Daphnia pulex: one gene and its partner. The protein of the gene in region 1 binds, or shares a complex with, the protein of each later gene. Links are inferred from orthologs where the notes say so. Each region holds a gene or a part of one and is shown in the gene's direction. Other genes may lie near its edges.

Region 1 (16,154 bases):
ATTTAAATATGTAATTGGCTATATCATACCTTCATATCACTCAGTTGTTTTTATTTTTTAGATCACAGAATGCATTGATGTTCTACGCAACTTACGTGACACTAGAAAGGCGGTGGATTTCCGGGATTGTAATAAAGTATTACCGAAAATGTTGATCTCGACAGCAATAGCCTAATACTTCATTAATATCATTGAATTTTTGTGTTGTTTAATCGCTTTAACAGATTACTTCTTATATCATCGAAATATCTCAGATGAGCAACAATCTAGAGAGGCATAGCCTTAAAGGAGTTTTGTCTTTGTCCAAACGTCTTATTATTCCAGTAAATCGGCGTTATAGGCCCTACGTATCTATTAGAATTTCATTGTTTTTTTCATTTTTTGTACACAAATTATTTTTTAGACTTTGGAGATTATTTTCACGTATCTGCTTATCATCTACCAGTTTAAAACCAAGTGAACTCCTTGAAACGTACCTGCGCGCAACTTCAAATGTGCCAGGCGGACCGCGAAAGGATCGATTATGTAACAATTTTTGTCGCGAATATTTATTGTCATCAGCATTTGATTATTACCGATTATTGGCATAGCAACAGGCACGTGTAAGCAGTGGCTCTGCCACTCCAACATATTCAACAATTATTACAAAAGCACACAATAATGCCATTCTTGGCCATCACTTGAAAAATTGCCAAACGCAAACAAAAGAAGGACAAGATCAATATAAAGATGAAAAACATCTGAACTATTAACGCACCTTGAATGACCCTGAACGTCATCATCATCCTTGATTAATCCGGATTAATAAATAAAAATGGAATTAAATATACTGTTCCAAGAAATGTTTTCTCTTCTTATACGTAACCTATAATTGTTTTTACGTCCTATATAAATAATAATGAAATTATGAATGCAATTTCATTTCATTGTAAGTAGTAAGCATCGTAATACTTTCACCGACTTTTACAACTCCGGTACCAATGAATTTCTTATTATTCCTTTTATTCCAGTAAATTGGCAACACGCCTATTTATTAGAAAGTTGTTCTTATACACTCGATTATTTATTAAGACTTTGGAGATTTTTTTCAAATATCTTCTTATCATCTACCAGTTTGAAAGTGCGGACTATTGAGCTACTTAAACGTATACATGAGCGTACAACTGTAAATGTCCGGGCGGGCCGAGAGAATGAATGAGTAACAATTTGTTGATTGATTGATGCATTTGTGTTTAACGCAAGTTGATAACAATGATATGCGCGTGCTGAAACTTTCATAACATCTCATTTGTAGCGCCGAAAATTACATGCCATTAAATATTTCCTCTTGTTTCGAAAGCCATTTTTATACCTCACATCCATCAAAATAATTATAGTGGCTAACAGCATAATTATTTTTTACAGCAAATAATACGGGGTCGTAAAACTTCTTTATTCTTCATCGTAAACTGGCTTTCATTTCTCAACTCCGGAGTGACGAATCAACTACTTAAAAAATGTTACCAAAGTTTCCACTTTTGGTGTTTTAAGACCAATTTCAGAAATACAATTTCAGAATACTGGAATAACCACTGTCTGCCTCCTCTTGTATAATTTATTTCTCTGGAGCTGAAGCGTTTACCAGGATCTGGTTATACCAGTATTCTATTGCTCTGCCAATTTGGTGATTTTGAAAAATCGTTGGTGTCGCATCTGGTGTTGATGTTTTATTTTTCTGTATTTTAGTGTTTTGAAGGTTTTGCGCTGAAAAAAAATTCTGATTGGACATATTTTCCGAAGAAAAATTGTGTTGTTTTGAGTGTGTTATCCAGTTTTTTCTCACTGTGAGTTTTTGGTGTCTTTAAATTTTTGAGTGGTGTATTTTTTAAGCAATCTGGCAAACCATTGGGTGATGCCTATGTGAGTGGAAACGGGGAAACCCTGGCTGCGAAGTTGTGAAATCCTATAAGATGGTAGTGGACATTTCTCGACATCAGTAAGAAGTAAAACAGTGCCAGTGCCAGTGCAACGTCACTTTGCGCAAGGTAGCTAAGGCTAAAGTTAAACCATTTTCTAAAAAAAATCGTGACTCATTAAATCCAGGATAAATGTAAGAACTATTACTGGAGAGGAAGAAGGAGATTCTAAGAACATCAGACCATAACTTTAATGATAAATTATTATATAGCGGGGGATTCCTGCATTCATAATTGTGCTTCATTATTGTGCAGCTCTTAAATGGAGCTTGCGGGAACTGGCAGAATTACCGTTTTCTGAATGAGCTAATAGCTGCATGTGAGAATAGAAAAAAAATCTGATCCAGTACCAGATCAGCCTTCTCCAGAGTTATACCGTCCGGTTAAAACAGCTCTAAAAATTTAGAAGACATGTGGATTTTCGCAGTTCCGTTTTACCTTCGACGCATCAAGATAATAATAGGTTCAATGTTTTTGATTTCCTTATCGTTTACCTTGTGGATTCGGGTTGCAGTGATTGCCGAACCGACAACCAAATTTCCTTTTCATAGTTTGTGTTGCGATTCACATCAACTCTTGTCTGAAGATCAAAAATGTGTCGGCCTGGTGCTGGGTAGCGCCAACCCATTAGAAGAATTAAATACCTACACGTCTGAATTAGTGATGGACCCTTTATTTCAGTGTACTAATGTTGATGGTTCGAAACTGTTGTATTTCACTACCGGGGAAATATCACAGAACGGGACGATTGTCGAACCATTTTCCAATCGAACTCTTTTAAAAGGAGATTACTGCGTTCAGCCGTCGACGCGGATGGGATTGACCGCGGTCCTTTTCTGTCGCCGCCCAGTTCAAATAAGAAAGTGTTGTCCTTTGGGACAGTTGATCAATCGCACATCGATCGATCAATGCGTCGTTAGCAACCAAGACGGACCACCGTCACAACTGGCAGTGACGTACTTTCTCGAATCGACAGCAGCAGCCAATTATTATGGTGCGGATGACATCGTAGTTCAAGATAATGCTTCGCTCCAATGCGATTTCGATTACAACGTCTATTTGCCGGGCTACTTTATCGATCACGGATTTAAAGTCAGTCAGGAATTGGGTCTCTATGTCAAGAAGGCCGCTTACGGGCCCATTCGTCACTCGAAAAATTATTGCGTCGATAGCACTGTGTACGCAAATGGGACGGAAGGCGTAAGTTTAATTTTATTCTTCTAATCGATTTGTTATGAAATTTGTGTACAGTATTTTTATTCCTGCAGCCCATAGCAATGATTTGTCTGCCGAAAAGCTTCTACGTTATGCGTTGGCTTTTGAACAACGTCTACTCGATTTTCAACTTGATTTCAGCTGTTCTTTTGCTCATCACCTTCCTGGTCCACTTGCTGCTGGCCTCACTGAGAGAGAACATCCAGACCTACTCCATGCTCAGCTTCTTTGCTTGTCTGATTGTCATGCACTTCCAAAACGGCATCTTTTTACTCTCGAAGTACGAGCCGCATACCTGGTGCTTAAACAAAGGTGCGAAAAATGTGTCATATTACTGCCGTATTTTACTTAACAATGCTATTTGGACTCGGAAAATATAGCTTGCATAAGCGGTTATTTTCGGTACGCTTCATCCACATGGATCACAGGTACAAGAATAAATTTCACACGGAATTGGACAAATAATAAAACGGTTCATTTATTGCACAGTGATGGGATACAACATTTTCCGGCAATTAAGGTATGCAATAACAACTTACTACCAGCAGGTTTTACAGTAATACTACTGGAATTGTTTCAAGGACGAAGATATCAAGAAGATTAAACAGACGCGAGCTGATGAAAGCTTACTTCTGTCGCTGCCTGTATGCCTGGGGACTGCCATTGGCTTTGATTTTGATTTCTCATTACTACAAGGAATACAACGGATGCCCAACCAAATTGAAACGCTGCTGGTCTTGCGATTCTGTCTGTAATACCCTTAAAATTACAACATTTAACATTAGTGCTGTTAATGAGATTATACTTTTACAAATAGCTAGGAACCTTTCGCAAGCGCCCAATATTCTCCTCCTGACCGGAAATTTAATCTTCTTCATTCCAAGTGCTGCGAAAATTTACAAGAGTCTAAGTTTTCTTCAGGGATCGGTACCTAAACATGCGCTGAGTAAAGTGGAATCGAGCCGGTGATTATTTATGTCTCAAATTACTTACACCGATGTGTAATCTTAAATTCGACCCTACTTTATTATTTTAGTATCCACACGATATTTCGGCTGTTCGTTCTCATGCAATTCTACACAGCTCCGAGAATTATTCAGTGGTTCGTTGACTCCGATCGAGCCCATCCCGAACTGTTGATGCTCTGCGCCACCATTTTCTTAATGATCGGCCCGTCCATCTTTTATTTGTTCGTTTGTCGACGCGGAACTTTGAACATGATCAAAGCTCACGCGAGCAGTTTGATTTGTCGTCACCGACACAAGTTCCCGTGGCTTCATTCGCAGACCTACCAAGTGAACAACGACGGCACTGCAACAAGCACCAACAACTCCGCAAGATCAACAGTGAGCACTATTTCGTCAGGATTGGCTCAGCATTCAGCTAGCACTTATCGGCTCTACCCCATCGATAAATAATTTCGGCATTCGGCATGTATATTTACCCTACTTATTACACAATTTGAACTCGAAGAATTTGATTAACTATATACTTTCAACTAATAAAAGTGTAGCGTAGTACGAAATCGAATTTATTTTTAAAAAATTATGAAATTAAACTAGAGTCAAAATAGAGATTAATGTTCGTGGATAGCAAGCGGCTTATTCGTCCACGTAAAGACACAAAAGGTGTATTGTAGGGATCACTATTTAGAATCCTTCGCGGAGAGAATCAGCCGCAGCTCCAATCAAAAAAGAAATTGCGGAAAGGTGTTGCTTGATTTGGCGCCAAGTATTGGGCTGCTCCGTCCGGTTACCAACGGTCTTGAATAAATCTACCAAGCCCGCAAAGGTGTCACTTGAGTATTTATCCACCGAGCTAGGAGCGAATACGATGTGACTGCCAAAGGAAAAAAACATTACGAGACAATTACAACGCAATCCTCGAATTATATTTATTGTTATGTCCATACTTGAATTCCGGACGTCCGGGGAGACCGTGGGGATCGACAAACCCTCTTTCGAGTTGTATCAATTGATCGTTGATTTTACGAATGGCTAAAGGACTAGAAAATAAAGTTTAAATTAAAATTCAATTAAAAACCCCTAGCGCTTATTACTTGCTCCTGTCCAAACGTGGTAAAATGGTGTCAGTGAAATATTCGGTGGAATTCCTGAAATGTGCAACGGCTTTCCTGAAATATTCTGATAAGAATAATGGTAAATTAACTCAATTAAAACAATTTCAACGATTCTGTGTGTTACCGAAAGTGGCTCCGTTAGCGGCTGCCAAGCTTTTGTATCTCGACTCGATTTTGTCAAGATCTTTTTCCAGAAAACTGGCGTAACTCACAACGTCAAATGGAAGAACCACCGACTCACTGAGATTCAAGGTCAATTCGGTCATCTGAAATGTTAAGAATTTTCTTGACGGTTGCATCATCATAAGCTAAATGAAGTGCCCACATACCAGCCGAGCAACGGCAAGGTGAAAATGAAATCCCGGATCCATTAAATTAGCAACCGCGTGATAGGTCTCGTAGAGAGTGTGATAAAGGGGGTAAGATCCAGCTTTCTATCCAACAAAAAATTATCGTCGATTAGCGCAAAGTTAAAATTATTTGTCATACTGGCCACAAAATATTACCTCCTGATAGTCGTAGTATAAATCGACACAAGGAACGCCCAGAACATGGCTGAAAACGGTGTAATCACTTCCGCTTCCTAAATTACCTATGCTACACTCGTTGGCATATAAAATATTAGAATAAGATTCCAATAATAAATAAAAGAACTTACCGCGGTTGGGTAGGATTGTTGAGATCAGGATTGGCCCACAACCAAGTATCGAAAACCGTTTTGCGTCCGGCTTCCACTTCCGCTGGATTAGGATTGGGCACCACTTTGGCCGCCTCTCTGATTGCAGAGTATAGCGAAGGCACTGTTTGACTCTTTAAGGTGTAATTTCCTTTGGTTCCAACGAAAAGGTCAGCACTGATTGTGTGTTTTGTGATTCATCAATTACCTTCCATGGCGGAATCGACATTAATGTAGGCCACTGCACGTTGAATGAGCACCTTTGCGTGTTCTTCGGCCCATTCGTACGAGCCTATCATGCCGTATTCTTCAGCTCCCCATCCGCAAAACATTAATGTGCGCCTTGGACGCCAGCCTACATAATACATCGTTACGTGATTGCAACTACAGAGCAATTAACGCATATTAGATGTTATTACCTGATTGCATTTTGATATTGCCGAAAGTGCGGGCCATTTCTATTAAAACTGATGTCCCACTGGCCGGATCAATGCCTCCAAGAGTCCACGAATCCATGTGATTGCCAACTAACACGTACCTGTCTTTAATTCAATCCCAAAATGGTTTTGGATTATCAGCAAAATAATTGTGTGTCAAAAATGATTTTACCTGGTTCTTCTCTACCGTATAATATTCCAATCGTATTATAGGCTGTAGCTAGCTTGTGGGTCATTCTTACCTAATTGGGAACACGTTTGTGAAAAAATTAATTGGCAAATTACCAATTTATTTTCGAGCTACCTGTAATCGAACGGACCATTTCCTTTGGGTGAATTTCGACCCCAAAAAGTAAGTTGCATTCAAACCACCTTGCCAGTCTTCCGGTGCAGGATTTTCTGTAGACATGGATCTAATAAAAATAAGAATGGAAATGAAATTCATTGACTATATTTGTATCAAAGGTTGTTGACACAACAAAAATGTCAACGCTCACACACCTTAACAAAACTTCTGCCTCGTCGTATCCGATGGGCTGAACAGGAATTTTGGGTAGTGGAGCTTCAGCTTCCGGCAGTCTGTAAGCGCCCTCTTATAACGTAAATATAACTGTTTTGTTAGTCTTATTGTGTTATTATTACTCTTGTTACATCCGCTCACTATACAGCTTTATATACCTAAGGCTGGGTACAGAGGGGTCAAAGGGTCGCCGTAACCCAACAGAACTGAACCACTTTGAACAGCCATGCCCGGAAGTCGCGTTGTGTTGGGATAGACAGATGTGCGCCCTTCCGGGGCGAAATCTTTGGGATCAGAAAAGAGTATCACTCCAAGAGCTCCTCCATCTTCGGCGGATTTCACCTGTAGTACAAATATCAAATGTTAGTAATAATTCAATACATTTTTAAAAATAATTGATTACGATATTGCCACGAAAAATCGCCCCATATCGAGCAATCACAATTCGACCACGAATGTCTATGCCGAGAGATTTCAAGTACTCAAAATCTTGTTTCCGACCATAATTTGCGTAAATGAGTTCCCCCTATGAAATGGTGTAATTAAGTTAAGTGTCATCAATAAAACAACGATAGAAATTTAATTTCACCTCGACAGTTCCGTTAGCTGAATAAGCGTTAAAATTGGGTTGAACTAACGGAGAGAATTCTTCGCTGGAAAAGAGTGGCGTCTGACGTCCTGAGGTGGTGAAGTTCACCTTGCCGTTGGAGTCGAGTAGCGAGACCTGATTGGGGTTGCTCATGTCTGGGTAGGAAAGCAGCACCTTGTAAGGAACCAATTGGACTTCGTCTAATCCTCCCTCGACGAAACGATCGCGCACCCAACTAGCCACTTCCAAATCCTGTGGAGTTCCAGCTAAATTCGGTATACTGCTCAAATATCTGTGACAATCATTTTGGGAGTTAATTAGACAATGAATCAAATTTGTCTTTTGATTAGCGATGATGTTGGACTTACTTGAGATATTCGCCAATATTTGATGCACTGAGCTCCTCCATCAAAGTGGCAGACATTTTCGCCTTCTGAGGCGACACGTCGTCCCTATCATTTCCGATAGCGTAACGACCGATGAGAATTCCTTTGTCAGGTGGAAAGATGAAGTCAAACCAACACATACAGTAACATTTCAAATGATTACGATACCTATGATAAGACAAATTACAGAAGCCGTGCAAATTAAAATCCAGTTGGGTTTTTGCGCCATCGTTTCGCTGCGATCACTTCTCCACACCCTTCCGTTCTCGTTTACTGTACCTCAAATAATAACGACGGTTTGAAAAGAAACAGGTTATTAAATAGCTGAAAATATGACAATGAAAGCACGGGAAGTGCGGGTAGAAAGTCGGGTTCGAGATTGCGTGTTCCATATGCAGCGGCACGCAAATACCTGGACAGTAACTAAGGTGATTTGACAAGCCAACCAGACCATCGGTTGCTTGTGGTTTAACACAAGACAGGTCGCATGCTTAACTGACGGGTGACTCTTGTAAAAAATGTAAACGCCATAGGCAATGAATACATTTCTTTAAAATCGCTATTACATAAATCTATTTTTTTTAAACAATTTTTTTTATTTTGAAAACTTCCCGATAGATGGTGTATAGTTTCACGCGTTAACCATAGGTGGAGCTTGTATTCATATTTCGTGTGAAAGCGTTGACAAACGCGAGGGATTACGGTTTGTAAATATTCCCCTGAAATTATTGTAAAAATGAGTGCTCCTATGAGCAAATTAGAATATCTGAAAAAGTACATGTCCTCTTCGAAAAAAGAAGAAAATAAAGTCAAGAAAAAGAAACTCAGGCCCTTACTGAAAGCCAAAGGGTAAGTCAGGCTTTTTGTGAACTTTAGACAATACACATCATTTTTTAATTTTAACTTAAGCTTTTTCTTAATCTAGTCAATTTGTTTTCATTTACTTATTAGGGGCATCAAGATCGTTGATGAAGAAATAGATTTGAGGAAGATAGCTGCAGGATACGAGAAAGATGAAGACCAAATTGACAACCAAGAAGATGCTCCTCTGGTGGCTGGGGTTGTCGATAATCGTTCCATAGAAATGATAACCAAACAAGACTTTGTGGAAAGTTCAAAGTGGAAGAGACTTGGTGTGGATGAAAATGACAAACCAAAATCCATGTCTAAATCAAGTGATCGAGATATTGATTCAAGTGACAGTCACTTACCAAGGAAAGATTCCACTGCCTTGAAACGACCAATCACAGTGAAGAAAGAAAGACATGATTCAGATTCAGATCCCAGTCCTCCACGTAGAAGACACGATTCTGATTCAGATGCCAGCCCACCTAGAAGAAAGCGCCATGATTCAGACTCTGATCCATCTCCACTTAGAAGAACGAGAAAAGACTCTGATCAAAGCCCACCACGAAAACGTCACGATTCAGACTCAGATGCTAGTCCTCCTCGAAGAACAAGGAAAGACTCGGATCAAAGCCCACAACGAAAGCGACACGATTCAGACTCGGACCAAAGTCCATTAAGAAGGCGTAAAGGCTCCGATTCCGACCAGAGTCCACCAAGAAAGCATCAAAATGCTGACGGTGATCTCAGTCCTCCGCGGCGGAAGAAAAACGTTGATTCCGGTGCCCAAATGCGCATCAAACCAGATCCAGACGGAGACCTCAGCCCTGAGCGTCCTAATAAATCAACATCACGCAGCGGAGGAGCTTCGGAGAAACTGACCAAAACCCTAGATGGAAAGATGGCCGGCCTTCAGACTGGCAGAGCTTTGCGTGAGGAGACTGATGCATTACGCAAGAGAGAAGAGGAAGCCTTCCGCAAAATGGACAAATCACTCACTGGGCAGAACGCCACGACTGCCATCCGAGCTGGCAAGCTGCGCCAAATTGAAGCCAAGCAACAGGTTGATAAAGAAAAAGCCGAGAAGATTGCCAAGCTGCAAGAAGCTTACCAAAAATGGAACAAGGGTCTTAAACAAGGAGAAACGCATTCGACGCAAGTTGCCGAAGCCATTCACGAAATGTCCAAACCGCTGGCTCGTTTCGCCGATGACGAAGATTTGGAAAGGTTGTTACGCGAACAAGATCGTGAAGGTGATCCCATGGCTGCTTACATGGCCAAGAAAAAGGTCAAGAGCGGTGGTGACGGCAAGGGGAAAGCCGCTAGACCTGTCTACAGGGGCCCTGCTGCTGCTCCCAATCGTTTCGGTATACTACCCGGCTACAGATGGGACGGGGTTGACCGCTCGACTGGCTACGAGAAGATGTACTTTGAAAAACAAAACAACGCCGTGGCCCTTCAGGAGGAAGCCTACAAATGGAGTGTATCCGACATGTGATTCCGATGATGAATTTACCTTGACTGAATAAAGCCATGCAATTACTTTTAGTAGCCAATGACGCCTGTCCTTGTTCTTAACATTTCCCTTTTTATTACCTCGACGGAATGGGGCCCATCCATCAACATTCAAAATTGCAGGGTTTTTTTCAGATTCAACGAGAGGCGCGCGGAGGAAATTCCATGCGGATGGCGTCAACACTTTGCACATTTTCCGAGTCGCGACTCTACCAGCAGTTCGTGAAAGTTGCCCAACCCATGTTGTAGAGGAGGTGCGGCTATTCATGAATCGTCCGTCGTGGTTGAATCGGAAAATTCTATCCGGAAGATGACACCCTTTCCGGCCTTGGCTGCCTTCAAATCATTTTTCTTCTGTTGTTCAGCAGCAGAAAAAGAAAAGAAAGAAAAGGCGTTGGGGTCGTTTCTGTTGAGTGTGTCGAGTGCGCTATGGCCAGATGGCGCTTTGGCTGAGTGTGTCGAAAGAGAAGGGAGGAAGGTCACGGCACGAAGTGGGCCGGCCGTTTTCAGGTGTGCCCTGTTGTCCGTGTTGTCTATGTTTCGGGGCTTTCTCTCTTCTCTTTTTTCTTGTGTTTAGTCTCCTCCTTTTTGATTCCCAGTTTATCCAGACCTTCTCTCTTTGCCGTCTCATTCTCTCTCTCTCTCTCACCACTGCTAAAGCCATTGGCCATTGGCTCGCACGACGAGACGAGAAAACATCACATCTCTTTTCGTCTTTTGAAAGTACCTACGCAGCCGCTCTTCTCCGAGCTTCAGTCTTGGTCGTAGCCACCTGGTAACACGGCCGCTGCTGGTGCTCAGTCTGTACCTCTTTGCTGTTGACTCTCTGGGTTTTTTGCCATTGTTGTGAAACGAGAAGAAAATTCCAGATTTGCAATTATAGAACTGTCGGATTGTTGTGCAGAAGTGAAAAATGCTGCGGATACTCGGCCTCGTTTCCCTCTTTTGCATCCTCTTCCAAGCTGCTTTGGCATCCAATTCTGAGGTAAGCACAATCATTCGAAAGAGTATTTTATTTTTTTTTCCCCATTTCTTCTAAAAAAGGATAGGCTTATTTATCTCAAAACGGTCACCAGTAAATCCTGTTAGGAATTTGTGTTTTTTTTTCTTCCTACCAAGCAGTGGCATCTATGATACGGGTGAAAATTCTAATCTTCTTCACGGCCTGGTCGTCACGTTAATTCTTTTTAGTTTGACCCATCTGTACAGTCGAAATCTTTTTTTCGTATGGAAATGTGATGGTTTGTTTTGTGTATACTTGTGTGGGTTACTTATTCCCTTCTCTGTTTCTTTTTTTGTTGGTATAGGAAAATGCGCTGGATATGAGCTTGGGCGAAGGTACAGTAAACACAAAGCATTTTATCTCGACAGAACGTTTCGAGTTGTCTAGAAATTTATTGATGGGATCTTGACGATGAATAGATGAATGCAGTATGATGGTATGCCGGGCTGGAAGAGAGTGTAAGGTGGGTGCCGATGGCGAGGCTGCTTGCGCTTGCCTGGCCACTTGTCCGGATCATTTTGTCCCCGTCTGCGGCAGCAACAATCAATCCTACGATAACTTTTGCTTGATGCATCGCGATGCCTGTCTGACGGGCGTTCACATCAGTCTCAAGAAAAAGGGATACTGCTCCAACAAGTCGATCAAGAAAAAGTCCAGCAAAAAGGATAAACTTAAAGATGAAAATCACTTTGAGCCAGGTAAGTTTTATTCAATATTTATGCTTTTCGTGATGGACAAAATATTCAAATGCTGTGCTTTTTTATTGGGGGGAAATCCAGTGGTGTGTTTCCAATGGGAAAGGGATGCTCTACGTCGCCAAATCATCAACTACTTCCGGCATCATACCGCCGACCAGAGCTGGTACCGACCCGACTTGAAGAGTTACGAGAAGCAGTTTGCCCGTTTCTTCATGTGCGATACCACCAAAGACAACTTTGTCGATGCCAACGAATTAGCCGCTTGCGTGACTGAAGTCCCTTTCGCTCTGCGAACCACGGCCGCCACCAACGAGCTGGTCAAGTAAGTTTCGTCTTAATTTAAAAAAAGCCAGCTTTATTCCATTCATGGAAAACATTGTTTTATAATTTGTTCTACTTGTTAGAGTGTTGTGTGTCGACGCCATAATCGATTCAGCCGATACTAATTCCGACTGGCGGTTGGACTTTGAAGAGTACAAGACTTTGATGGATTCTAGTTTCCAGCCGAAAGAAAAGCGTGAGTTATTTGAGACGTGTTTTGTGTAAAAATCGGGTTTTTCTTTCATTGCTTTCCATTTCCATTTTATAGTGTGCTCTTTGGAGGGCAAAAAGTACGAGGACGGCTCCCAAACAAAAGTCGATTGTAATGACTGGTCAGTTTATTTTAACGTTACAGACTATTAACGCGTGTGGAATGGCGATTTCATTGAGTACCGTTAATAAATTAGTGTCTGCGCCTGCGGCAGCTGGGTGTGCTCTTCCAAGAAGTGTGACGAAGAGCTGAACGAAATCGACGACCTGGATGAAGACGAAGATTTGGACGACGAGTTGGACGAAGCTGAGGACCAGAGCGAAGACAGCACCAAGGACGAAGTCAAGATTCTCAAAATTGAGGAGGATATCGACCTGAAAATTGACGATCCGGATGAGGATCAGCCACCAAAGATCAACTCCGACGATGACGACGATATGGACGACGAAGAAGACGAGGAAGATGACGAAGAAGAAGATGAAGAAATCGACGTGGAGCCAATCAAGAAATCATCTAAAAACAAGAAGAAGAAATTGACGTAATATTTTGGGTCTATTAAGTCTTCTTCTGTTTAGCTTTTTTCCCCATAGTTAGCTTCTGCTTTTAACGACGTCGTCGCGTGCCATTTATGGGGAGCTACACTCTGCTGGCCTCATACTTTACGTACATTTGTTTTTTTAATTTCTACATTTTTTAAAAGCCCCAATTGTCAGTGCGTTTTCTCGCCTGGTGCTGACATTTACGAGTTAATTTTCTTTGTCTTTATTCCACCATCGAGCTAACATAATACCTGGGTTAAATTCCACTTGACGCTTTCGTCCCTACGGCGCTGTACAATACATTCCCCCGGCAATCGAAGTTCTACGCTCCTTGATGTCGAGTCAGCTGCATATTTTTTCTCGGATAATACTCTCCTAGTTAAAGGCGGACATTGATGCATCGATCGGGTGGCGAAACAACATTGCATCGCCGGTGAATGGGTGGGGATGTATCCGTGCCCTGAAAGGCGGCCCCTCGACCAGCTCACGCTCATTTCGTTTGTCACCTAGGTTTGGTGTTGCGACGAGTAATATATACTGTGTTATCTGATAGAGACAGTCTCACAGAGAAAGCAGAATATTTAACAAGTCTATTTCGGGTTTGGTTTAACCTTATTTATTTATTTCGGTGTGTAGTCAGAATTAGTTTTTGTGGCCAACACATGTTTTCACAGTGAATAATAGAATCTGTTTCGCTTTTTTTTTGTAAGTTTGTGTGGGCGGGTGAGATTTCCTTCAAAGGAGGTATACCTTTTTGGCGGCGTCGTGATCTCTTCTTTATTTAAGAGAAAATGGGCGATGTTTAAATTAAATAACCGCCATGGCAGTAGCCATGGGAAACGGGCGAAGAAGAAGAGTCCCGAGTTGCCAAAACACGCAAACCTCTTGGTCATTATTGCCCCTGGATACGCAAGCCTGTTTCATCGTGAATGCACGATGATTGCTTGATGAGAATACGGGAACGAGGATTGCAACGGAGGGTCTAGTATTATTAATGCAAGTAGAAATAGTTGTGTGTGTGTGCAAACCTTGCACGCAGATGTTGATCATGCATTTAGCTAGATTGCTTGAAATGGTCTAAACAACAATATATATCCTTGTGCTTTATTCGCATTTTCTTTCACTTTTCATTACTGGATTGGACGCCTTTTCAACTTAAAAAACATTTCATGGAACGGATTGACGTAAAAACTGGGACACTGTGAGACGAGACGGGTTTCAAATGTCATTTTGGACCTTTCCACACTTCTTTGTAAATGACTAATGCGAATAAACTTGAACTAGAAAAAAAAGGAACACGAGAAAGAAAAGAAAATCTCTTTGCAGAAGCAGAGAATAAACTTAGACCGGCTGATTAGGGGAAGGAGAGCACCACATGTCTCGGAGCTGACTGACGGTAAAAGGCGTGCCCATTTCTTCCGGATAGTCACTGTCCAGTTTGGCTCTCTTTTTTGGCGTTGGCAACTGGCGTGACCCACATTCCTCCAGACTTTCTGTCTCTAGATCCCAGGGTTGAGCGTGTTTGAGATGGCCAAAAGATGAGTTTGCCTCCATGTCCTCGACTGGCGGCTCCTGTTCTTCATTATTCATTTCGTGGCAGTAGCGAAGCATCTACAGATAACACGAGAGAGAAAATTGAAGATGAAAATTCGAGCGATAATAGCTTATACAGAAATTCTTACTTTGATGGTTTGGCGAAGAGTTGGAATCCGATTACAGAGCGTTTCCACGGGCAGCGTAACGAGTTCTTTTGCGTCAAAGTGCTGGGCGATTAACGGCGCAGTCACGGCATTCAATTGCGGAATATGAAGTAAACGTTTGGCTTCGGTACTGAGCGGCTGCAGATGGGATTCAATGTCTTGATTGATCTCGTCTAATGCAACGTCTTTGATGATGAACGCCACTTGATGATAATTTAGGGCTATGCGTGGTTTCAACAGAAACCGGGTCTCAGTCTTCTTGCGATCTTTCTTCTCGTAGAACCGGGCTAGTCCAGCGAGAGAATGCCATTGTACAGGCGGTTTGGACGAACTGATCACACCTGGGGCCAATATTATCACCCAGCATTTCGTGCATTTGAAACTGGCTGTCAAAATTCTCAAACGGGTTTCCTCAAACTTTTCTTGTTCGTGCACGATCAGCAGGGCTGTGTTTGCACTTAACAAAACATCGGGTTGATACTTGGAAATGTAGCCCAAAAATCTAAAGCGAAATAAAATGTAATGATTAGAATTGTCCATTACAATGATAGTCTAATTATTTACTCGTAATCGCATTCATGAATTATGAAGATTCCAGAATTATCATCTGCTTCAATAGCTTCCATAAGTTCTGCATTAGTCGCCAAATGTGAAGATAAAACCAATGGAAGAAGAGGCTCGATCGATCCAGAATTATCATCTTCGATATCTGCAACTGAAATTCGGTCGATTTCATTGGTAATAATTGGACTCTTACTAAAGTCTTCTTCTTCTTGGCTCTCTTCATCAGAAAGTTGTGAAACAAAACAGGACTCGCCGGGAGGTTCGATCGGAATTGCATCATGAATATGAAGGAGGAGCTCATCTTGAGAATTGATTAAAGGTTCCTTGTTGGCAGTCGATTCGACTTGTTGTTCGATAAAGATTTCAGAACCGTCTGAATCATCAGAGTCATCAACTTCGGGCTCCTTGAAAGGAGATGAATCTAAAGGGTGACCTGTGGATGACATTGACACGAGACAGGCTTCTACCATGGTTTGCTGGTCAGGAATGTTCTCCGCATCTCCCGGGCGAACTGGTCTGCTAATCTCTATTGCCTTTTGCGTAATTCGAGCAAATTGCCTGTCCATCTCTACCGACGGCCATTCGTAATGGATGATGAGAGAAAGCATACTAGCAGGAAAGCTTTTGGACACTTGTTCCGCGACGAAGACGGGATAATTACCACTCGGTAAAAATGACCCTTCAGATTCAGGACACTCAATTTGCGGATCCACCTGGCACTGGACGTCGACGCTAGCCAACAGACGTTCAATACGTTCAGCTATTATGTTTGAATGACGATATAGGCGAATCCAAATTTTGCTATTGTCATCTTCGCTGAGCTGACGTAACACAAGCTCCTTTAATTTCACCAGTTTAGGATGACACTCGTCGAATCTTTTTGGACGAAGCCGTAAGAG
Region 2 (16,618 bases), about 12 Mb from region 1:
CCATTCAAAACACAGAAATAGCTGATTGAAGCTGGTGAAGCATTCAACATTCATAGCCTTCGTCTCGATACACAACTTAACACAACAAGATATCTTCTAATTCTCCATAACTAACGCAAAGGCTCTGACTGCTGACCGACGTGACCGTAAATTGCTGCTGACTAACTGCTGACATTTTTTTTTTGGCGGGGAGAAGGAGGAAGAAGGAGGAGCCATTTAGTGGCCACAGGCTAAGTTGGCAATGCTGTCATGTTGCCAAACCGAATTAGATACCGAAGGGAAATTAAGCGGCAAAAACAAGATTTTTTTAAAAATCTGGAAGAAAAAAAAATGAAATTTTGAAAATGATTACATTAATACCGCTAATACATCAACTCATATGATATGACGGGGTTTGGTTTACTTTACTATTTTTCTTTTGCTATTTATAATTCTAAATTATGAACCTGTCTGCCATGACTTCGACACGGGGAAAAAAACACTAGATCAATATTAAAAGTACAATTTTGCCGTATTTGCAATGACATGTCATTGGGTCATTTGGGTGACACCTGGTGACACCAGTGACACATAGTCTGGCAGGTATGTAAAATCTTCCTGCGCATCAGTTCTAAATCTAAACTAAACACCACTTTTTAATTTGTCGCTGCTCAAACTGTCAAAATCAGCCAAGACATTAGAAACATCGCTGTTGTCGTAATAAGAAAGGTAAATTTATGATTGTGGGTGCTATATTATGTAATGTCGGCCCGAGAGTAGCTAGGCCTATATCTGAACTTGAAAATGTGATCAAATCAGACCAACATAGGGTCACAACATATTGTTTTATTTGCAACTAGGTATTGCGTCATCTTTTTGGGAACATAATAACGCGTAATCCTCGTCGAGCTGCACATACGTATGCAGAGGAACGTTAAACTAACATCAGATAAAAATACGTCCTACTTGACGAGTTGATTGCATCTGGTGTGTGGGTCTGTGCTGTGTTTGTTCAGTTGTTGGCACCGTCGATCTAGCGAAAGGGTGTGGTCGGTAGAGTTGAGTCAAAGGTGGGGAGTCTGTGCTCTTAACGTTGAGCTCCTCCACGAACTTAAACTGTGTGACCATCATCGACATCAGCGTCGCCCGCCGTTAACCTGCTCGTGTCAATATTATCAGTTGTGTACCTTTATTCGATATCAAAGATGAAGTGATGCGGACCCAGGTCGACCATAGCGAATTAATTAATTAATTAAAGGAGACACCATCACTCAGCAAGGAGCCGATGATTTGTTTCAATACTGGGTGGATCAATCAGTGAGTTTTAATAATTAGCGCGAATAAAGTAAGCATTAAATTAGAATTCTTTAAAAATAAAGTTCGCCCCAGAGGTTGACCGACTAGTTGGAACCGGAGTTGTTATAAGACAAGTTCAATTCGACGCGCTAGTCTCTATCACTTACAACATCGGAACCGGAGCGTTCTCGACTTCAACTCTTTTGAAAAAGGTGCGTGTCTGGCCCTGACAACCCAACTATCCGCGACGAATGTTTGCGATGGGTTTACGTGAATGGCCAAGTTGTTCAAGAACTCGTCAACCGCCGTACTAAAGAAGCTGATTACTATTTTTCAAAAGTCGAAAATATGTGTTAATCAATTTGTTCTGACCTTTTGAAGTATCTAATCTTACCCATTTGCTGGTCAAATACACATTTCTAGTTTCAATTGTAAAGCAGAATGAATGTACGTAATTTTTTACCACGATTAAAACAGAACCGAATCTCTTTGATTCAATTTATTCTGAAAATTATGTTTGATCTGCATAAAAACATTTGGCCATAGCATCTAGATTTCTCCTACTTTAAACATAAAGAACAAAACACTCCAACAATTTAAAATACGAATGGAATGATGATTTTTCTGGATCGCGGATAGTTGTCAAATTTCTTTAAATAGAAATGGTGATGGTGCCATGCTCTGTAGCAAAGGAAGACTGTGGAGAAGAAAGCGAAAACGGCTGCTGGAGGACTGCAGGAAGCAATGGCAAAACCGATCCACTCGATGATTTCAGCAAAGAAATTGGGTGCAGTCACGTACTCGAACAATCCGCCGACAGGCATTTTGTACCCAGTTTCTCCAGGTTTGCGCAAGTGAATCAGTTGCTGATCTGTTGAAAATAAGTTACAAAACTTTTAACTTCTTCTATTAAGTGCTTTTTTATCAATGTACCTGAATGAATATTGATGGCCATTCCAACACAAAACATGGTGAATCCTGAAAAAACAAAAGGTACATTAATAAAATCTATTTCAAATTTTCCTGTACCCTAAAAATACCTATGATGAACTGAGGAGAAGTTAGCCATTGTTCATCATACAGATAATAGTTTAATAGGTAATGCCCCTGCATGAACCCATTGAAAATGGAAAATGCCATTGCTGAGATGTATGGTATAAAAGGGGTATCTTCATTGCCACGAGCACACAAGGGAAAGATAATACTCCTGAAATAGATATAGTCAACCTCGGTTTATCAAAAAGAACTTGAGTAAACAAGGAATAATTAAGAACTTTTACCTGTTTACGTAATGTATAATAAACCCTATCAAGAGCATTTTATTCACTGTGGAATTCCAAAACGCTGAAGATGTAGTCAGCAATAAAATGACTGGCACTATGAAAGATGGAGATTCTTGAGTTATCCAAGCGATTTTTGCAGGAAGCAGGAAGCCATACTTTGAGCTGCTGTATCGTCCTTTAATGAAAAAATGGTTACTTTGATAATACTCAAAACAAGTTACTAAATTTACCATATGGTGCTGGAAATAAGGCCATACTAACAGCGACACTAAGGGTGTAGAAGAATGAAATCCAGACCATTTGGGAAAACATTTCTGAATCATTGTTTGCACCAAATAAAGGATGCAAATAGCTGGTAATAAATTCATCCCCACAAGAATTTAATTTTTCCAACATCTTGGCGGCCACTTGTTTGCAAAGCTTTGAATCGTCTAACAAAACAGGTTTGAAGAAGTGACGTTGATGTTTACATTTTAGACGATTATCACGTTTTGAACATTGCCACATTTACTAAAATGGCTCTGGCGCAATATTCAAATTATTTTGATTTGTTAATTAATTAATTATTCAGTTGGTTTGTAAGTGCACAATTTGTATTCTAAACCCAAAAATAGAAGAAAAATTACAAAAAATTGAAATCATGTACAATATGGCGATGAGACTAGGATCGGGAACACAAAATAATGCAAATTATGTAACAAGGATTACAGGGAAATTAACCAAACAGAAAAGAAATTACTTTACATAAAATAGTCAATAAAATTTTACAATCATAGTGGTTTTTCTTTCTTTCTCTTCATCACAAAAACTGAAATCAGATAGTTACATAATAATTAAGTATTTGTCGGTTGTTCAGTCACCAATCGATCACCATAAATGTGCAGGAAATCTAAAATGACACCGTTCGTCCAACCAAAGCCAAGCTGAACGTCGTATTCACCACCACCTGCACATCAAAAATTGATAAATTAATAAGGGTATTGAATAAAATTAATTGTGTTGTTCAACTAACCTCCTGGTAGTCCAACAACAGTCACGTCATACTAAACAACCAATGGAAAGGAATTTGTTAAAAAATTGAACCGTTTAAATTAAATCAGAGACTATCTTGGACGTACTTTTTCAAACATGGCGTTGGGCATACTTTGTTGATATGCATCGTAATTGTTAATCAGCCACTTTTGGGCGAGATTAAAGGCCAAGGCTTTGGCTCTGGGGTCACCGGTATTTTCAAGACCGACAACCAACATGTGTTGCAGGGGCGGCCACCCATTAGGGAAATCCCATCTGAAAAACAAGGCAAATATTTGTTTAGGCTTCAGTAGATAAACCGTAGGGTCAATAAGACACTTACTGTTGGCCAGTGTGTTGCATGGATGTCGGAATTCCTCCGGCAAATCTAAAAAGAAAAAATCGAAAAGTCGAGAAAAACGTGAACAAACACATCGATAATAATCAACATCATCATTATTACTTTGTAGATTGACTGTGCTCCAGATAATCCATCACTCTGTGGACAACAGCAGAGTCTACGCCACCGGATGGAGTGGCATCCAAGCAACCGGCCCATAGCGGAGCGATATTCGATGCGTAGAAATATGGTCGTTGCAAATTATTAGTTAAATCGTAGTCTAGCCAGATGCCTTGTTCTTCATTCCACAGCACCTAGAAAAAAGAATCAAAAGTTAATTAATCAATTTAATTGGGTTAAAAATGAATTATTCTAACCGCTTGAATGGCTCTTTTCCACTCGATGTACTTGTCGTGATACATTTGAGCCTTTCTGTCATCTCCGACTTTGCGGAACATTTCCGAAAGCATTCGAGCGTTCATGCAAACAAAGGCATTTAAATCGACCGGCACGACGTTGCGGGTACTAATGTGGCTCAAATTGCCTTCGTTGTGACCTTCGTCTACAATGAACCACCTGGAACTGAAATCCCAACCGGATTCAGCTCCCGATTTCATGTTGATGTAAAAGTCTTGACGATCGATTTCACTCATGTGGGCAGACGAATGAAAGTCCTCACTGGGAATTGATAGAAAAATGTGTTTAACCTCTATTAAAAACGAATTAAATCAAGGAATTCTTACATGTAAGATTCGGGTCGTGGTCCATCCGATTCGACATTAAACCTCGCCAAAGTGTGTCCCTTGACGGAGACTGTCCTGTTGGCCATCCAGAATTGAAATTCCTTTTCCAAGAGATGTAACCGCCCATTAAGAAATTCGACATCCCCAGTGGCGTTGATGTAACGATCCACCATGGGAATCAACATTGGGGGCTGCGACCTCAGCTGATAGTAGATGCGACCGCCATTTGGGACCATGCCGTAAACATCCACCATATGCAGGAAATTATCCAACATTCCCCTCACCTAATAGACAAAATAATCAAAAGTTTTGTCAATATTGATTTAAACTTTTAGAGAAAATTATTTAGACCCAACCGTGTGGTTCATTTGAGAGATGAGAAGACCTTGGACGATCCAGTAAGAATCCCAGTAATAAATTTCACGAAATCTTCCTCCAGGAATGATGAAAGGATGAGGCACATAAATCATCGAGTATAGCTCGGGGCGTTCTTTGACGTCATCTGTTATATAAGAATTACGACAAATGTGTCATTTAAAAAAATGGAAAACTTGTAATAAAATTTGCATTGTACCTTTAATTTGTCGGCCTAGGAATTTCCAGGCTCCATGTAATTCTTTCCCCCAATTTCTCAATTGTGTGTTGTTGATATTTTGAAGGAATGACGGGCTGTCGAGCCAGTCGGAAGGATCCCACGGTTGAAATTCTGATCCTTCACTCTCGAAATGTTGACTGATGAAGATGACGAGATCGTTTTGGGATGGACTATTGTCTGTAAGGTTCATCAGTTGAGTGAAATTGGCTGCAACTAATTCTGGGTCGAAACGTAATTTCTTGTCGACAAAAGTCTTGGAGTCGTGATACAATTTGGCCATCTGAACCGTGTGCAAGAGTGGACCGTGACAGTAAATGGGACTATTGAGAGAAACACGAAAAGATTAATCATTGCCAACACACACAGAAATAGATGAAATTTACCTTGGACATGGCGGAGGAAGAGATTGAACTTGGGCAAGTCCAAAAGTGGCAGAAGAGATGAACAAGCAGAAAAGACGTACGAGTCGCACCATTGTTCAGAATGCACTGGCGAAAAAGGCAAACAAGTCGAACGCAGTTCCTCGGTTTGGCGGACGACAGTCGATGACCTTGACCGTAAAAGACCTCTTTTTTTCACCGTTTTAAATCGAAGGGGGGTTAACAAACGTCAATGACCCTTTTAATTGAGAAAAGAAAGGGTAAATCGACGCCCTTCTTCTTTTTTTACTACCTGTTGTATACGGGGACTTTTTTTAACGCTTGGAGGTAACTTTTAAAACATTTAAATTGCCGGCCTTCTGAATTTGGTAAAAGATTTGAAATGTCGTCGTCGTAATGGAAAATTACAGACTAGAAAGATCGTCTCTTGGGGTTATTCTACTACTAATACAACCTCGAATGGTTGTCCTTTTATAGGGCCAGTGGCTACATGGAGACCTTGAACGAAATGAAATCAATCTTTTTTTAAAAATAAACTACTATTTGGGAAAACAGCCAATCTATTCCAAGTTAAGCAACAAATTGTCGAGTAACCTTAACCCTATTTTTCCTAGAAATGGGAGCAAGACACTTGGTACAAATAAATTTCAGGTCAGGATAAATGTGTTTTGTAATAACATACGGTTGGAATTATGTCACAGCACTGTGTTAGTAGTACCATAGAGGAAGGAGTGAATGACGAAATCAAACCCAACACTCTATGGCAGTACGTAGTTGTTTTGGAATGAACAAATATCGTCGATGCTCGTAAATGCGTAAATATTTTTGTTCTAGAGTTTTATTTTGTCGTCTGCTTGACTCGTCCGATGCAGACATCTAGCGAGTGTCTGGTAGATTACACCGAAGGTTACGATTGGTCAATTTCGGAACCAGCCTACAAAAAAATCAAGGCCCCGGTCGTTCGATTTTATTAAATAAATATACTTGATTGTGTCACATGATTATGTCACTTCAATGGTCTACGTGCATCAGTATCAATATATAGTGACCTCAATTCTTTGATGAAGCCTTACAACTTTGTCAATATGATGCGAGCATCTCCATTGCGTGACGCTACAGGCAGTTACAAAATGAGCCCATGATATCATCTTCTCATCTTCGTGCTCCATTTCCTTTTAATTACGTACTCGGTTACATTTTAATCAAAGTCAAGTAGGCACTAGAGGCAACCGCGGCTGTGGCCTGGCGGCATCAGCGTCAGGCAGGATGAAATCAAATCAGTTGCAGTTGCCTAGTAACATAATTGAATTTTTCCTTCAGACAATTTAATTAAAACGACGAAACATCGCCTTCGCCTAGCGAATTAATTAGATATTTTAATTACACGAAAATTATGCAGAAGCTACGCGTAGTTATAATACCACCGCAGAATGCACGGCAGTTGTCTGATTTGATTTTTCAATGTTCGTCTGCTTGCGTCTCCCCACCTTTTTTGTTGTTTCCATAAAGACATCTTCTGAGCGAAAAGGAAATCCTTGATATTAACGTATTCGTGTGTCATTATGTCGGAAACCAAGCCTGGTGTGTCTTTTGCCTTTAGTTCAAAAAAGAAACATGATAACGTGAAATTAACTCAGTCGAAACTATTGGATACGACTCAAGAAACTCGCGAAGAGACTGATTTCGTCAAAACTGTCGAGCACAACAAAATCAATGGGTATGTTGCTTTTCCCGCCACAAAATATTAATTTTACATTCATTTTCTGCATTATTCTATTTAGATCCATCAAAAAAGCACCCAAAAAGGAACTGGTTATTCCTCTTATAACAAAGAATCGGTGGAGGACCCCTGGCAGTGATACCAAAACCGAGAACACAGAAGCATCAGACTTGGACAAGCAAGCCGAAAAAGAAATCCTGCAAGAAACACTGAAGGCTGTTGATGGCTGGGAGAACAGAGGCAATGGCGTACCCTCCAACATTGATATCCCCCTATTTATGCAAAATCGTGTTCCATCTGGCTTTGAAACAGATGAAAAAGTAGATGTTTCCCTCCGTGCAGATCAGGTACTGAATTTCGCAACTGCACCTTAATTATGTAATTAACTCTTGACATTTCTCTCTAGTCCACACTTGATGATTATGAAGCGATCCCAGTGGAAGCCTATGGAATGGCCATGTTGAGAGGAATGGGTTGGAAAGCCTCAGAGGGTATCGGTCTCTCTAGAAAAGGGTATCATTGCCATATTTCACATTAATTAATGGTTCTGAATTCTCATCAAATTATCTTTTATTCAATCAAGAGTGGCTGCTCCCATGGAGGTGAAACTTAGGCCTAAAGGACTTGGTCTTGGGGCTGACCGTACTGTTTTAGAAAATGCAGCTAAAGCTTTAACAAAGCCAAAAGAAGGCGAAGAAGAGCTCAAAGTGATTATCGGTGCAAATGTACAGTTGCTCAGCGGGAAACATCAAGGTTTATATGGACAAGTAAGTAAAAATTCTATTAAAATCTGCCATTAAATTATAACTAAATTTGTTTCATCAGGTTCTTAGCATGGACGCAAACACTGGTCGTGCTCTGGTGCGGATGGCTGTCGGAAGCAACGAATTGGAAATGAGCGAGCTCTTTCTGAAACCAGTTTCTGCTAAAGAATATCGTGATTCCGCCAGGATTCTGAGTAAATTAAATCTATTTCAAGCCAAATTTCTTCTTGAAATTAATCATCTTTCTTTTAATTCTCAGACAAGGAAAAATACGACGAGTACAAAACGAAACAGGACAAGGAGCGAAACGAGAAGGAAAGAAATGATCGCGAGAGCAGAAAGAAACGGAAGCATAGTCCTAGCCATCGTAAGTAGTGATAGATTGTCCTGTCTAGCTCCTCCTACCCAAGGTCACGCTTTCCTACATTTATCATTGGCGTTCTCGTGCCAGCCGCCCAGCCCGTACCGTCAGAATTTCCCGTTGTTAATTAATCAGTTTGTAATGAAATTCCACTATAATAATTTTTTCCTTTTATTTTAAAAAAGGTAGTCGTCGGAGTGGCAGTCGGGAGCGCCGTGATGAGAAGAAAGAATCTCGTTCTAAAAATCGGTCGTCGAAAGGTTCTGACGAGAAACGAGAACCTTGGCTTCACCCACTCTTGCGAGTCCGCTGCGTCGATTCTTCATTCAAGGACGGCCAATTCTACAAACAGAAAGTAAATAAAAATGTCCTAAAAATAAAAGATGAATTTCTCTCACGCCGATTGGTATGAATTCCAGATGGTTGTGGTGGACGTGATTTCCAAGAATCATTGCATTTGCAAAGCCGAAAACGGGAAACTTTTGGAAAACGTCAACATTTCTAAATTGGAAACTGTCATTCCGCGTAGCGATCCCGCTTACGTCATGGTCGTCAAGGGCAAACGAAAAGGACAGGTTGTTAGCTGAAATTTACACACATGTTGTTTTTGTTAACTTGTTTATTTTTTAATAAAAAGGTCTGCCAAGTGATTGAAAGGGACAAGGAACGATACACGGCCACCGTCCAGATTCTACCGGATCGCGATGAAGTTTTCCAACTAGACTACGACGACATTTGCGAATACACGGGAGATGTGCGCAACTTGTAATCACAAAATAACTCGACTTGGTTTTTAAATAAAAACAAATGTGCTATTCGTGTTTAATTTCATAACGATTTTCACCCTTTTTGTCTTCATTGTTGCACCTCTCACATAATTTGCTACGTGACCCAGACAGCTGTGGCAATCTCTCATTATGCAAATGTTTGCCGAAAGCTCTCTCTCTTATCATTTTAATGATACGTTACGCTAATGCAAATTTTTCAAGTGGAAAAAGAGATGAGAAAGTACAAGGCGCGCCAGTCAGTCTGGCAAGAACTTTGTGTGTTTTCAATGGGATTTATTAAAGTATACACCGGCATCGTAAAAATACACGAGCTATAGGGGGAATACGGTAATGGTACACACCTTTCACGTGCGTGTTCCCCTTTATTTTTGCATCGATATTTTTCGGTACAGAGTACACTGAACCCACACAGCGTAGCTCAATCAATTCACGAGAAAAGCGTATAGGCTACCACCCTACGGGGGACAGTGGGGGGGCTTTTTTTCGCTCGGTCATTTCTCATGACTCCCGCCGAAGTCCGAACGAACGAACGAACGATGAAGGTCTGCTGTGTGCAGACTACGTAACAGCTCAGTAACAGGGCCGCTCTTCAGTTGTTTCCTTACTCTCGCAGCTGATTGGTCGTTGCCTTGTTACTGCGAGACTTATCACGCCATACAACAACAAAAAAACATATAACGCTAAGCTACATATACCCCTTTCGCTTGTCGTCGTGCTCGTGGTCACTGTGTCAATTCTCTATACATGTTATTCCCATTTAATAATATTTTCAACTCGAGGTTTTGATCGGGGAAATCTATACGCACTCGCTTCAGTTGGATGGAAATGCTATCTGGTGATCGCTCGTAAGAACTCTTGTTGCTATATAGACTTATTATTGCCAACATATGTCTTCTTTCTGCGTCGAACACGTTTCTCAACTTGTCCAACTCCTCTTGACAGGTGTGGGTCATGATTCTCGCTACTCATTCTAAGATGGCTGAAGAAATTGAAGAGTGGAGCAGCAGGTTACGTTTCACAGGTGCATGTCAGACGGGAAATGAAACCCCAAATGAACTTGATCTTTCTCACAATCTGGACGAGTCTTCTGACCTGCCCTTCGAAGGCATCAAGCAGAAACGCAGGATGTTGGAGAAGAGAGTTTCTTTCCCTTCTGACGAGACCCAGTTGGTCCAGAACCTAGAGCCCACAGTTCCTGACGTTCCAGGTATATTGAGGCTTTTATGTATTGTAACTTTCCAGATAATAAATTTGTTTAAAATTATTTCAGAATGTATCCTTACCGAAGAAGAAAGTGATATCAACATTGTTGCTGCATACACCTCTTCGTGCAAGAAGAACGAGGCTGAACCTGTTGAGCACATTATTGAGCAGTTAAAGGTCATTGGGTACAAACCCATAAAATGGGGAAAAATATATGCTAATTTATTCCCTTTTTGGAAGTTAGACTTTGGACTTGAGTCGTCCACGCTCGGCCAGCCTCACGTTGCGAGGACGCAACTTGAATTCCCATGACTGTGAATCGTTGGAGGATGTTTTGAAAAATGTTCCTCTGAAACTCTTGGATATTGGAGATGCCCACTCCAGTGATGATGTAAGTCCCGTCACATGGCCTGAAAAATGTTTAATTCATATGCTGTAATATTCTCCCATCATCAGGGTCTGATTGCATTGTTCGACATGATCGAATTTTACGAAGCAGCCACCCATGTGAGCATCGCCTCCAACAAGAACATGACCAGCAGGGGCTGGCAAGCGTGCTGTCGCATGATCAAAAGGGTGTGGTTATTGTTTTTCCTGTGCAATCTTTTTTAACCCATGACTCACGTTTGTTATTGTGTCGTACATATAGACCGAGTGTTTGGAATGGCTGGACGCAGCTCAAGTTGGGCTATCGGAACACAGCTCAACTTTACTGGCCAGGGCACTGAGATCCAACTCTCGCCTAAGGGTTTTGTACTTGAACGATTGTGGTCTCACCGGAAGGTCGCTTGCCATCATCGGTATTGTTTACTAAAATTTTTAAATATAAACCAACAAAACACAATAACAAGTTGTTGTTACTCAACAGCAAGTTCATTGAAAATGAACCGGAATCTTCGTGAGCTGCACCTGGCCGAAAACAAATTAACGCCTTTCGACGCCTTACAGCTTGGTATTTTGTTGACTGGAAATTCGTCACTTCAGCACGTAGACTTGAGGTGAATCAAATTTAATTAAACAACAAAATTTTGATAATAATTTTGGGGTTTTATATTAGGAACAACGAAATTTTAGATAAAGGAATGGGTTACATTTGCGATGCTCTGTTGGATAATGTTGGACTGATCTCGCTTGTCGTCTGGAACAACGGTATCACTCACGAATCGTCTCCCGCTCTCGCCAAAGTTTTGGTACATTTTAAATTACAACATTAAACAACTTTCACGATAATTAAACAGCTTTATTATTTTTAAACAGGCAACTAACCAGACTCTGCAAACACTTAATTTGGGTCATAATAAATTAGGCGACGAAGGAATTATTGGACTCATTCCATCTGGATTGGAGCGCAACCGTTGGCTTTTGCATTTGGGACTCCAGGAGAACGGACTGACGTGCCCAGGGATCATTTCGCTGTCCGAATCGTTGGCTACTGGAACGCAATTGAAACGGGTTGATTTGCGTAAAAACCAGATCGCACTGGCAGGATTGATGGCCCTGGCTGCTGCTCTCAAACATTGTCCGACCATCAACCAACTGGACTTGGATCCCATCGATCCTCCTCCTTCTACTACCTCCGGCCACCATCAAAATGCTGCCGAGTATCAGCGTCTGATTGAAGAGATCGCCACTTGCTGCACATCTCACGAGACTGAAGCCAACGACAGTGACACTCTGTCCAGCCTGCCCAGTGATCTCAACAAGCGGTCCAGCAACAATAAAGAAGCCAATGCTGATGAGGTCATGTCTCGCAAAATCTCGCTCACTTGTCTGGTCCCGCCGAGCGATAAGCAGCTGCTCCTCCCATTGAATAACAAAGAAGATGATCAACAGCCCAGGCGGAAACTTCGCAGTCCATTGCCCAGCCCTTCGCCCAGTCCGTCACCCAGTCCACTGCCTTCACCCAGCGGAGGAAGATTTAAGGTGACATTCTACTGTGCTAATTTAATTAAAAATTATTCAAAGTTTATTTATCAATTTGTCCAGGTAACTCGAGTGGATGCACCGAGTCAATCGCCTTTACCTTCCCCACGCTCCCGTTTCACCGTCACTCCAGTGGCTGTGACAACTCCCGAAATTGAACTGCCAGACACGGGTGACTCTGCTCCTGCTCCTGGTGGAGTGCACTCATCCAATAACAATGCCGATAGCACCAAGGAAGATGCTTCAACTGCCACCGATTACACCAGTCTCATTCGTAGTTCTCCCAGCAAAGTTATCGTCGGTTTTGACGTTTTAACCACCTGAGCTCCACCCTCTCTCATTGCAAAACAATACCGGTTCCCCATTCTTCTTTTATTATCACACACGTACATGGTCCATCTGTTGACACACAGATTTATATTCTATACATATACTTAAACAAATTATATTTTGGAGGACAGACAACAACAACAACAACAGTACCAAAACAAAATAACCCGGTGGTTTATTTTTCGATACCTTTTCTTTTTTTTCCCGATATCCATTTCCGCCATTCAACCTAACCCCCCCGAGTTGTTGACCAAAAAATTATGAATCCCTTCCTCTTCTTGTTATACATCATCCATTGTAGCAGCCAGTGCGTCGCTCTTCCCCCTTGTTGTTGTTGACGGATAAAAATCTGTTGTTTTTTCACGGGACGCACTTTTTTCAAACATTCTATTATTATTATATCCATTTCTTTTCCTTTTTCAAATTGCTGTTGGTCATTTTTCCGTCTTTGAAAGATTCACACACATTTAAAAAACAACCAAAATCTACTATGCATTTTTCTCCGTTTGAGGAATATGGTTTTGATGTCCGAGTCCAATTTCTCTTTTTGTTTGTTTAATATCTTATCAGGGCATTGACGTCATCACGCGCACGATTTTGTTTGTTTATTTTGGCTTTTTTTTTAAATTTTTAAATCATTTTGCTCCTCGATTATATTGGTCACCACAAAGGACTCGACAGTACAAAAACCAAAAGTTTAGACAAAAAATTAATGTGTGTGTATATGTTCAGTATTTGTTTTCATCGACATTTCGAAAAATACAAACATGTTGGCCAAAGATTTTTAGAATTGATTCAATTGCCCTCAATTTGATGTTACTATAATATCAGTGGCGTATTAGAAACGCACTTTATTACTTAAATTACTTGATACAACTACACTACCCCAATAATACACATGTAAAATAATCCAACATATAACTCATTTTATTTTAATTACAATACCTGGTATCCATACATCTTTGGGACATTCACAAATTTGAATAAGTGGATCAAAATTCAACAGCATCAACTTCTTTTGAGATAATGTTGGCGGCTTCTACGAGTTCTTCCACCCGGTGGTTTAAATCAAGCACTTTAAATGCAGAGGACTTTATGTTGCTCAAAGTTTTCTTGGTTGAAACTTTGAGTTCCTCTTTTTTGTATGGTACTGGCTGTCTCTCAAACTCTTGCACATTGACTACTCCTGGGTTGACCTCCACAGCCAACTGATACAAACAACGTAACCATCAAGTCCAATGAATCAGATAAAAGATTAGATCAGACATACCGCTGCCTTCTTTTCAATGGCCAGTGTCTTCTCTAGGACGTCTTTGCACATCTTGGTTCCTTGTTTTCGTTTATAGATGACATCCTCAATAGCTTCATTGTATTCCTCTTCATCTGCAAAATTTAATTTGGTCTTGGAAGATGTTGATGTTATACTCAATAGCAAAATAAGTTGTTTTTACCTTCTTTTAAATTCATCTCTGTGCCTGCTGCTGCTTCATCATCTCCTTCGAAAGCAATTTCAATGGCTGTTGTCAAGTTCTTTGAAAACAACTAAAGTCGAAACAAACAAATTAGAATGAATCATGATAATAAGCAGAGGTGTTTCATACTTCCATAAACTGCTGAGCTGTTCTCGACATGGAATCATCCCCATCTGTAGTTTTATGAGAATTCAAAATTTTCTGAGAAGCTTCTTCTACAATTTTTAATATCTCATTCGACATTTCTTGTGAATTATTCATATTTAATCGAGTAATCAAACTAATCAAACTACAAGACACTCAGACTTCAAACAAGACGATTCTAGAGAATTTTCAAACTTCAGAAAAAAGCAACAGTGCCAAATCAACAATTGCAATCAAAATTTTAAAATACAATTTTATCGAAGAATTAGTCATAAAATAAAGCAATTTCAATTGAATTAAATTTTTCCAAATTTTCTGTAATGAATTTACTTCAATAACCTTATTAAAATATACAAAAAAGTGTTTTATTTTTCAAGCATTATTGCACAAAACTGCCACCAGGAGTAACCGTTGCGCGCCATTATTGTGAACGAAAAAGAGAAAAAAACGGTCACGCCTATTGCACTCCGGGGTCCGGAGCGCTCTAGTGTCAAAAGTGGCTATTACACTCCGGAGTCCGGAGTCCTCTAGCGTCAAAAGTGGCTATTGCACTCCGGAAATTTATGGCGACGAATGGCAAATCAAATAACGACTGATTCTGTGTTTTGACTCTCATCACCTCGTTAAAACTTTTTGCCTCTTTCTTCGCAATTGCCTCGTTCAATTGGATTCGCAATTTCTCGTTAGTCAATTGGTTTGATTAACATTTAATATTTATGGTGTGCATAAAGGAAGAGGGAATGATAGGAAATAAATCTCTGCTGTACTTGGTGATTTCCAACAGGCCATACATTCTACAATGACATTCTGATTGTAACCAGTTTCATAGAACATTGTGTTTGAAATTAGTTGATTAACAATGTTTATTTCTCATTTATAGGTGTGTGATAATGAAGAGGGAATGATTGCAATTAAATCTCTGCTGTACTTGGTGATTTCCAGCAGGCCATACACTCTACGATGGCATTCTGATTGTAACCAGGTTCATAGAACATTGTGTTTGAAATTAGTTTGATTAACAATGCTTATTTCTCATTTATAGGTGTGTGTTAATGAAGAGGGAATGATTGCAATTAAATCTCTGCTGTACTTGGTGATTTCCAGCAGGCCATACACTCTACGATGGCATTCTGATTGTAACCAGGTTCATAGAACATTGTGTTTGAAATTAGTTTGATTAACAATGCTTATTTCTCATTTATAGGTGTGTGATAATGAAGAGGGAATGATTGCAATTAAATCTCTGCTGTACTTGGTGATTTCCAGCAGGCCATACACTCTACGATGGCATTCTGATTGTAACCAGGTTCATAGAACATTGTGTTTGAAATTAGTTTGATTAACAATGCTTATTTCTCATTTATAGGTGTGTTAATGAAGAGGGAATGATAGGAAATAAATTTCTGCTGTACATGGTGATTCTCCAACATTATTGATCCCAAAATCCTCGACTTTCATCCAGTCATAATGATGTCATTTACTATGACTTTGGCTAGGCCATGTATTCTGCCAATGGTAGTTGATTTACGCCTAATTTCCTACAACCTCCAAGTCAAAATAACTCTTATATCGACTGTAGATCGTATCAAAAGGAAACGACCAGGTCGCCATGTCTTCTCGATAGAAAACTCGTGAGGACACCGCTGTTATTTGCACGCTGCTCAGTGTCTTGGTCGGTGTATGCGCGGGAAAACGGACGAATGGTGATAAGCAACATTTCTTTGTACAGTAAGTTTATTTGAGACAGTTACAATTGACAGTTAATACAAAACCATTTATCATTCATATCTTTAGGACAATTATTGATGCACATTTTGTGAAACCAACCGTCGCAACCATTCGTGTCACATCCGATAAACTCAAATCCATTTTTCTCCCAGCCTGTCCTGCGACAGGTACAATACAATAATTCTGCTTCGACAGTCTCGTGAGTCCTTGTTGCACGACTTTCAACTGATGGGAATGGAGTTAGTTCGCCGGAATCCATACACTGAATAAGGTGAGGGCGTAACTTTTTTGGGTCATACATTCTTTTTGCAGGGTCTTCTCCGAATGCCAAGCTCGTAGCAAAAGCAATCGCGAATACCCCGCAATCATACCCATTGCTCTGCCGTTGACAATCTTTGATGATGTATGTCATTTCCTTTTCAGGTGATTGGAGGAGACTGGACATACAACTTAGGACATGCTCGTTTCTCCATGGATTGCCGGGACTGCTGTCATACACCAGTACATGTTCACGTTGAATAAACCCTTTGGCAACTAATACCCAGTGATCCGATCCGT

What was found.
Region 2: BUD13 homolog (region 1) and G-patch domain and KOW motifs-containing protein-like share a complex: the UniProt entries of both Homo sapiens proteins name them as parts of the minor spliceosome. The link is inferred for Daphnia pulex from reciprocal best matches to the Homo sapiens genes BUD13 and GPKOW.

Annotation. Positions count from the first base shown.
Region 1 is NC_060019.1:12,599,188-12,615,341, forward strand, and holds BUD13 homolog, read left to right. Parts: upstream 1-8,571; 5' UTR 8,572-8,594; coding exon 8,595-8,707; intron 8,708-8,809; coding exon 8,810-10,202; 3' UTR 10,203-10,255; downstream 10,256-16,154. Other genes in the region: probable G-protein coupled receptor Mth-like 4, read left to right, coding at 2,367-3,155, 3,224-3,482, 3,551-3,598, 3,660-3,690, 3,752-3,921, 3,988-4,135, 4,207-4,588; glutamate carboxypeptidase 2-like, read right to left, coding at 4,820-5,009, 5,083-5,175, 5,230-5,314, 5,375-5,516, 5,580-5,684, 5,757-5,847, 5,909-6,077, 6,135-6,281 and 9 more; follistatin-related protein 1-like, read left to right, coding at 11,133-11,204, 11,527-11,557, 11,642-11,920, 12,002-12,242, 12,325-12,437, 12,510-12,573, 12,649-12,994; uncharacterized protein LOC124191303, read right to left, coding at 14,333-14,602, 14,674-15,193, 15,256-16,154. UniProt on the Homo sapiens protein: Involved in pre-mRNA splicing as component of the activated spliceosome. As a component of the minor spliceosome, involved in the splicing of U12-type introns in pre-mRNAs.
Region 2 is NC_060019.1:130,512-147,129, reverse strand, and holds G-patch domain and KOW motifs-containing protein-like, read left to right. Parts: upstream 1-7,092; 5' UTR 7,093-7,189; coding exon 7,190-7,344; intron 7,345-7,408; coding exon 7,409-7,694; intron 7,695-7,753; coding exon 7,754-7,860; intron 7,861-7,930; coding exon 7,931-8,114; intron 8,115-8,172; coding exon 8,173-8,305; intron 8,306-8,370; coding exon 8,371-8,478; intron 8,479-8,657; coding exon 8,658-8,827; intron 8,828-8,891; coding exon 8,892-9,047; intron 9,048-9,109; coding exon 9,110-9,241; 3' UTR 9,242-9,299; downstream 9,300-16,618. Other genes in the region: 3-oxo-5-alpha-steroid 4-dehydrogenase 1-like, read right to left, coding at 1,872-2,146, 2,209-2,253, 2,316-2,482, 2,556-2,733, 2,789-2,954; trehalase-like, read right to left, coding at 3,392-3,504, 3,571-3,601, 3,677-3,845, 3,913-3,957, 4,033-4,223, 4,287-4,587, 4,653-4,936, 5,009-5,154 and 2 more; protein phosphatase 1 regulatory subunit 37-like, read left to right, coding at 10,212-10,467, 10,531-10,640, 10,708-10,854, 10,920-11,039, 11,113-11,263, 11,332-11,461, 11,521-11,653, 11,721-12,386 and 1 more; uncharacterized protein LOC124189688, read right to left, coding at 13,709-13,924, 13,987-14,099, 14,168-14,258, 14,318-14,449. UniProt on the Homo sapiens protein: RNA-binding protein involved in pre-mRNA splicing. As a component of the minor spliceosome, involved in the splicing of U12-type introns in pre-mRNAs.